Mus musculus: one gene and its partner. The protein of the gene in region 1 interacts with the protein of each later gene in a biochemical or structural test. Links are inferred from orthologs where the notes say so. Each region holds a gene or a part of one and is shown on either strand. Other genes may lie near its edges. The genes, in order: Dhx9 and Akap8l.

Region 1 (3,816 bases):
CTGCTTTGAGAGCCAGATGAGGAGGAAGTGGTCCTCCCATTGGTGCTGGTAACCCTTCTGCAGCACTTGCTGTGCTATCAGAGGTGTCGCTAAGTATGGGTGGGGGTGGTACAATCTACAAGAGGAAAAGTCAAGTGTCAGTACTTGGGGTTTTTGTTTGTTTTGCAGAAACTAGAAGACTCAAGACTACTCAAAGATACCCATATATTAAACATCCTTCCCCATAGTATTTTTCCCATTTCTGCCTTTGTTTGAAGACAAAGTTTCAAGTAACTTAGGAATGAACCGGGCGGTGGTGGCGCACGCCTTTAATCCCAGCACTCGGGAGGCGGAGGCAGGCGGATTTCTGAGTTAGAGGCCAGTCTGGTCTACAAATCCAAGTTCCAGGACAGCCAGGGCCACACAGAGAAACCGTCTTGAAAAAACAAAAACCAAACCAAACCAAAAAAACCAAAAAACCAAAACCACTACAGGAAGCAGAGGCAGGCTCGTCTACATGTGTTCCAGGATAGTTAGAGCTATGGCCTATAAAGTGAGATCTTGTCTCAAAGATAAATAAGCAAGAGTTATCTTGTACAGAAGTATAAAGTATTTAATGTTATAGTGAATAAATGCCTGTTCCTTTGAAAAATCCATTTTTAAACAGCATGATCGATAGTATCAGGATTGCCCAAATTTCTGGGTCTAAGTCCTGAGAATACATGAGTTAACCATTAATAAAGGCAATTTATAATTTCATTTAGAGCCATGTGTTGAAATCTCTAAATGTTATTACAGTTAATTATACATGTTTCTTTCCCTTTTACTGTACACTGTCCAAGTCAATTGAGAGCTTAAACGACAATAGTAATAGGTAATGTCCCGGACTGGTTAGATGGCTCAGCGGGTAAGAGCACCCGACTGCTCTTCCAAATCCCAGCAACCACATGGTGGCTCACAACCATCTGTAACAAGATCTTACGCCCTCTTCTGGAGTGTCTGAAGACAACTGCAGTGTACTTACATATAATAAATAAATAAATCTTAAAAAAAAAAAGGTAATGTCCCAACACTTCTGGTTAATTTGCTATTTTTAAGGTAAGATGTCATACAATAGCCTAATTGGCCTGAATTTGCCATATTGCTAAGACCACAGGCCTGCACCATCAAGCCCAGATTATCCCCCCCTCCCAACATTATTAGAATTTAGAACACACATCTTTAACCCCAATGAAACACATAATTTGAAAATTTTTATTTTTTGAGTCAAAAATTAATTTCTTGTACTTCTGAGCATCATGGCTTAGTAATACAATATACTTTAAATGCTGTCTGTTCATACTCTTTGGGGGCATGTCTGAATGGCTGTGTTTTTAGTGCTTATTGGTAGCCTTAGGAAAGGACAAATTTCACAAGGTATGGTTTCTTTCTGCACATTTCAGGTAGAAAAAAATCTCAACTGTGTCTCTAAAACTCAATGCATTTTTGTATAGCCACTATATCCTTTCATATAATGCCCCTGCACACAGTGTATTTGTAGACACATCCTGTAAATCTGTTAACTTGAACCCAAGGGTAGAAAGGGGAAAGCAAACAAAAATATCAAGTTCTTGGTCATAAATACTTACCCCAACAGCTGGAACTTCTTCACTCTTTACTTCATTTATTCGAACCAAATAGTTAACAAAGTCTCTGGCAGCATTGCTCTGTGCATCCTTTTTATTGGTGGAATTGCCCATACCAGCATAATTAAACCCTTCTACTCGAACCTTTAAGATTCAAGGGGGGAAAAAAAGTTGAATTAAAGCTGGGTAATTCTAGGATTTAAAAAAATAAATGGCCAATTAAAGGCAAAATACAACTGTTTTAGACACACTACATAAGTAAATATTCCTTTAACATACCCAAGCAACACATGGATTATTTAACTAAAACCGTGGAGCTGAATTGTTCATTGACATACTGGTTCAACAGTATCAATTTAAGCGGCTCAGGTTTCCACACTTAAATTTTTTCAGATTGGGTATCTAACTAAGCTCTGTGGACAGTACTTGCCTATCAAATGGCTGGCCTTAAACCACCACCACTGAACTCTGTGGGGTTTAGGGGGAAACAAGACAGCAAGTGGACTAAGCAAGAGCACTTTGCCTCCAAATTGATGAACTGGAATTGAATCCCCTAGACTGGTAGAGCAAGAGAAACTAAGTCCCACAAACTGTCCTGATTTTCACATGCTTCTGTGCACACCCAACCATGCAATTTAATAATAACTTTATAATAACTAAGGGAAAACACTACCTTTCTTTTAAATACTTTGCTTCTCTAAACAGAGAACCCAGGGGTGGTGGTGCATGCCTTAACTAAGACTCTAACCACACCCACCCCCCAAATGTAAAATTGCAAACATTTTATCTTCTGACTTACTAGCACCAAGGAAGTTTTTTAAGCATTAGAATAATTTCCCTAGCCAAGTATTGCAAGATAATGTTTCTTTGAAAATAATAAAACCAGCCAAGTCAAAATAAATTCTTCTACAACCTGCAACAGTTCAGCCTTTCCAAATAAAACATTCCTTTAAACCAGACGAACTTCACAAGTATATAAATTAACTGTATTCTTTATGTACCTCACACATGAATTTCTGTCTGTTTTTGTTTCCTACTGCTCTAATTTCATAGGCTGGAGTCATCTTCCTTTTGCCACACCAGGCATACAGAAAATTTTTAATGTCACCCATGATTCAGGTGTCTTCTTCACACCTAAGAAAACAAGTTAAAAGCATTATGATAGCAAAACCTCATACATTCTATCACACTACTCTTAAACTTACCTATAAAGAAATTTTAATATAATTGAAGTCTATGGCATGTAGTAAAAAAGATACAAGCTGTAAAATTTGAATTATACACATATCCTACAATGGTTATTGTTGTAGACTGATTTTTAATTTCAAATATTTTATGCTGTATCCTACATTCTACAATGAATATCTTACTTGCTTTAAAGTTATCCCTCCCAGCAATGAGAACCATGTCACATTCTATTACTTTTTTAAGATTTATTTTATGTATATGAGTACATTAGAGCTGTAGTGATGGTTGTGAGCCATCATGTGGCTCCTGGGAATTTGAATTCAAGACTTTCTGCACACTCTGGTCAAAAGATTTATCTACTATATCTAAGTACAATGTACTTGTCTTCAGATGCACCAGAAGAGGGTGTCAGGTCTCATTACGGGTGGTTGTGAGCCACCCTGTGGTTGCTGGGATTTGAACTCAGGACCTTCAGAAGAGCAGTTGGCACTCTTAACCACTGAGCCATCTCTCCAGCCCCTATTACTTTCTTTTCCAGAGAAATTTTAAGTGAAAATGAAATAGAAAAAAGATAAGATGGCTCAGTGGTTAGGATCACTTACTGATCTTGGAGAAGATACAGATTCAGCCACTTGCGACTGGCAAACATCACTGGCTCTAAGGGTTCAGACCTCTCAAGGTACCTGGCATCCAAGTGTACACAAACTCACAGAATACTCATACACACAAAAATAAAAGGCATATTTTTAAAAGAAAATTTAAGCAAAAGTCCCATGTGACTGACTCACAAATTCAAATTCACTATATCAAGAAATACCATCACAGACACACAGACACACACACACACAAAGCCAGGCAGGTAGGGACTCACGTCTTTAACTTTGGTACCCAGTAACCTTCACTTGGAAGATGGCTATGAACAGAAGTTTACTTGGGGTTACATATAGCACTCTCCACAAACTAAACCCACCAAAACTACAGAAATGGCCACAATTTGTATATAATCAAGCTAAAATCTAAATAA
Region 2 (4,478 bases), on another chromosome or scaffold:
TTCCAATAAAAATAAGTTACAACCGAAGCATATCAAACACCAATCATGTGGGTACAGATTCCCATACTGCTGCTGCTCAGTGAAGGTTACAGCCTACATGCCAGCACTCACGAGGCTGAGGCACAAGTTCTGCCATGGGTTCAAGGTGCTGAAACAGGGTGAGACACCCCTGAAACACACACACACACAAAACCACAGCAACCATAGTCAATATTGCACACTGAATAAATGCTTCCCTGCTGGGTGCTTTAGCTGCAGGTCTCAGTTCATCCTCATTAAGACCCTGTTCCCTGTCCAAAATTCTTTGAAAAGTCAGTACTTTTTAAGTCCAAAAAAAAAAAAAAAAAAAAAACAAAACAAAACAAAACACTACAAATCGAGGACTCTCAGAACTGGGAAGGAGGCTGGATACCTCCAGGCTTCCAACCATAGCAGTTCATAAGCAGAGTAAGTGCCCTCTGCAAACGTGAACAATTTTACACCGAGGCCACAGGGACCCGGGAGAATGAATACCGTTTATGTATGTGGTGCAAAATCAATACGGTTTCTGCTTTGAGGTCCTTGAGTTGAGTTAATCTCAAGGCCTTGGCAAGCTAGGCCAACACTACATCACTAAGCTGTCCCTAGTGTATTCAGTTACAGGGTACCACCTTGACCCCAGGTGAAGAGACCATACTTCTTCAGGGTAGAATTGCAAATACATCCAGCTACAAGGACTCCAAAAAAGAAAGCTGTGGACTCAACTTCAGCTTTACTTTCCAAGGAGAGGAACTGAGCCCAGGTCTTGGGGAAAGAGAAAACACAAATATAGAGACCGAGTCTTTGCCATCCTTCCTAAAGAGATTGTGTCCAATTAGATTTTTCCCACCCCTGGGGGTCCAGGGCCTTCTCAAGATGCTTAAATTTTAAGTACTAATGATTTAATAGCTGTCTATAAAAACCACTGGGGTGGGGAGTGCAACTGGAGAGATGGTTCAGTGGTCAAGAGTACTGCTCTTCCAGTGGGCCAGGACCCCAATCCCAGAAGCCATGGGGGTGGCTCATAATCATCTTTACCCTTAGTTTTATAGAGTTACAGGCGCTCACATGGCAGTGCACAGACACACACATTCAGGAAAAACACTCATATGAACAAAATTAAATAAACAAATTTATTAAAAAAAAAAAACACTGAAGGGTTGGAAATATGCTGCTCAATTGTGAGGACGAGAGTCAGATCCTAGAACCCATGTCAGGCGGCTCACTCACAACCCTCCGTTAACTCCAGTTTCAAGGGACCCATGTTCTCTTCTGGTCCCAAGGGGCACCTTCATACATGGCTGACACACTCACACAAACACATACATGTAGATGCAGACAGATACATGTAAATAAAGTAAAGTATGTTGTGGTGGAAGCCATACTATGCGCTTCAGGCTGCAGAGTTGCAGCCCTACCCTTTATCCACTAGATGTCAGTAGCACTGCATACCAGTCCCCCACCTCCACCCCCCCCCTGCCCATACACACATTATATAGATAAGACAAAACAGGACTCCAGATATTGCCAAATGTACCCCTGGGAGGTGTGAGGCAGGCAAAATCACCCTGGTTGAGAACCACTGGCCTAGAGGATGGTTGTTAAAAATCCCAAGGTTCTTGGCAAGCATTTGACCCAGGGGCTTAGGAGGACTGGCATAAAGCTCAGGTTCCATTGAAAGCCTTAAACATTCCAAACAGAATGTGGGTTATCCAGCAACCACTTAAGTTCAAGCCTGAAATACCTCCAGTAAAGTGGGAGGCACTGTCTGTGGCACTGACTGATAAGTTTCATTGGCAAACCCAGGGAGCCTTGGCAACTAACTCACTCAAGAATGATTCTACAGTCACTCAAGCATATTCCACACCCCTCACCATGCTCCTCACCCACCTTCCTCTTTGCTCAAATATCACTGATCTAAGTAGGTAGGCGGTTCCAGCCCAGTATGTTTTACAGCGACAGCTATCTTTACTCTTTCCTATTTTGCTTACATCTCTTCTTAAACGTCACCCTTCCCAGAGGCTTCAAAGCTCTCCGTGTAATGGCTGAATCTCTTCAGGATACCCAAGACCCAAAATAATATATTTATTGTATTTTGTCTGTCCTCGCCTATAAGATGCTTAAGAAATTCTTGTCAGCATTCAGTGTCTATTCAGCACCTGATTCGGTAAGTTGAGTGGAAAGTAGTCATTCGTCACCAGGGTTCAAGCTTGCTCTCTAAAGCTCCCTGCAACGGTTCAGAGCCTTCATATAGATTTACAGATTCTCACCGCCCCCTGGGGGAGTGAGGTAGGGGAGGTTGGCTCTCCCCCCCTCCCGCTTTATACCAGATGAAGTGGGGGGAGTGCCATGAGTAAGGGTCTGCGACGTTTTGCACAGAAACTGCTCAAGGGAGGCAATGGCGACAGCAGCCGCCCCAACGGACTGATCTCAGAAGCTCAGGCCTGAGAAGCGACGTCTTAGACGTGGGTGTCCGTGGGGCACTAGCCAGGGAATGACGAACGGAGGTGCGGGAAGCCTGAACCTAACGTTGAGGCCCAAGACCTACGGTCACAGAAGACACAAGCAAATCCTTGAGTAGCCAGGAGAGTCCAAGATGCCCGGCTGAGGTCAGTGAGAGCCGAAGCTTGAGGGATGCGACCCCGAAGGGAAGAGCCTAAGACGCCATTTTGTGACCACAGAGGGCAATGACCACGACACTACAAGAGGAGATCCTAGCATGACTCAGCCCGTCCTGACGCCCCGGCCCAGAGCGCTGCCTTCACCCTGTTGGGCCTACCTGTGTAGCTCATGGCCGCAGAGAACACCCGAGCCGTGGACACAGACCGCTACTCTGCGCGTCTGACGCCACAACAATCCCTGGGGTCCTTCCACACACGCTCCAGCCCCGCCTCCTTATCTCATTGGCTTCTGCAAACCTCGGACTTCACGCCTATTGGTTTCGCTACCTGTCTATTTTTACACCTCTTCGTGACAGTGGTTGGAGATACTGCCAACCCCCGACGACCCCGCCTTACTCTCCGCCTCCTGTTAACAAAAACCTGCGCCAATAGGCCAAGGGGAGAAGATGGAAAGGTTCGAAGGGGCGGAGCTGCATGCAACCTAGAGGTCCGAGCCCACGCGTGTGCTCGCCTGGTGTGTGCGAGCGAGACACTTGCCAGCGTGAGCAGAGACGACCGTCTTGCGCCCCGCCACTGAAATGAAGTCAAGAATGGTAAAGCCATGTTGAAAGGAGAAAATTAGTATCTAACTGCTAAACAAGGTCCTGACAAACGTTATGTGAGATAACGTTAAAACAAACGAAGAAGGCCATGTGTAGTAGCTGACTTCTGTAACCCCAGAATACCGGAGCCTGAGACAGAATGACTCGAGTTTGAGGTCAGATTATACTATATGAATTCTAAGCCACTCTGGGTTCCAGTGAGTCCCCGTTTCAAGGAGGGGTAAAGAATTAGGGCCAGTTTCACAAAGTAAATAGTAAATATTATTTTCTTATTAATCGTTACATAACAATTAATAGTGTTTGTAAGGATATAGCTTGGTGGAAAAACATTTTATCCTAGCATGTACAGAAGGCCTTATGTGAGCTCTCCAACTGCAAAATAAAGATGCTTTTGAAAATTTTATGTGTATTAGTGTTTTGCTTGCGCGTGTCTGTGTGAGGGTGTCAGATCACCTGAACTGGAGTTTCAGACAGCCCTGAGCTGCCATGAAGGTACTGGGAATTGAACCTGGGTCCTCTGGGAAAACAGCTAGTGCTCTTAACTGCTGAGCCATCTCTCCTGCCTCTCAAAAACCACTTTAAAAATAACTGTTTATGTGTATGCTATTTGTTATACAAGTAGTATATCTCAATGTATCATATATTATTGCAAATGCTTGACATAAGAACCTATGTTCAATGCTCAGCTCCACAAAACGAAAAATGTAACCCAGTACCAGCCTTGTTCTAAGCACTATGCCTGGCTCCTCCTGGCTGTGTGGAAAGTCACCATGGGAGGTATCCTTGGAAGAACCCTAAAAATAAAACAATGGATAAACTACAGCAAGCTCTGCTTCTATGATTCATGTACCTTCTTATGGTTTTGAGAAATGTTAAAGTAGGTGTTCTATTGGTATTAAGGAATGTTTATCAATTCTTTTTAGGCTTATGTATTTGTTTTGCTTGAATATATGTCTATGCAACTACATGCACCCCCAGTGCCTGAGGTGGTCAGAAGAGGGTACTGGATACCCTGGAGTTACTGTGAGCTGCCATGTGGGTGCTGGGAACCAAATCCAAGTTCTCTGTAAGAGCAGTGTGTGTTCTTTGCCATTGAGCCACCTCTCAGTTCTTGTTAGCAGTTTCTTTAGGGGTAATAACAATGGCATTCTTTAAAAGGCCTAGATCCTTCAAAGAAACATACTGAAATAGTTGATATGATAGCCAAAACTGTTCTTCACAATTTAGTTGGGGCAGG

Evidence for each region.
Region 2: the proteins of Dhx9 (region 1) and Akap8l form a complex in vitro, tested with the Homo sapiens proteins (2 studies listed by BioGRID). The link is inferred for Mus musculus from reciprocal best matches to the Homo sapiens genes DHX9 and AKAP8L.

The regions. Positions count from the first base shown.
Region 1 is NC_000067.6:153,481,135-153,484,950, forward strand, and holds part of Dhx9 (ATP-dependent RNA helicase A), read right to left. Parts: intron 2,739-3,816; 5' UTR 2,717-2,738; coding exon 2,606-2,716; intron 1,749-2,605; coding exon 1,608-1,748; intron 116-1,607; coding exon 1-115. UniProt on the Homo sapiens protein: Multifunctional ATP-dependent nucleic acid helicase that unwinds DNA and RNA in a 3' to 5' direction and that plays important roles in many processes, such as DNA replication, transcriptional activation, post-transcriptional RNA regulation, mRNA translation and RNA-mediated gene silencing.
Region 2 is NC_000083.6:32,347,690-32,352,167, forward strand, and holds the start of Akap8l (A-kinase anchor protein 8-like), read right to left. Parts: upstream 2,889-4,478; 5' UTR 2,811-2,888; coding exon 2,798-2,810; intron 1-2,797. UniProt on the Homo sapiens protein: Could play a role in constitutive transport element (CTE)-mediated gene expression by association with DHX9. Increases CTE-dependent nuclear unspliced mRNA export.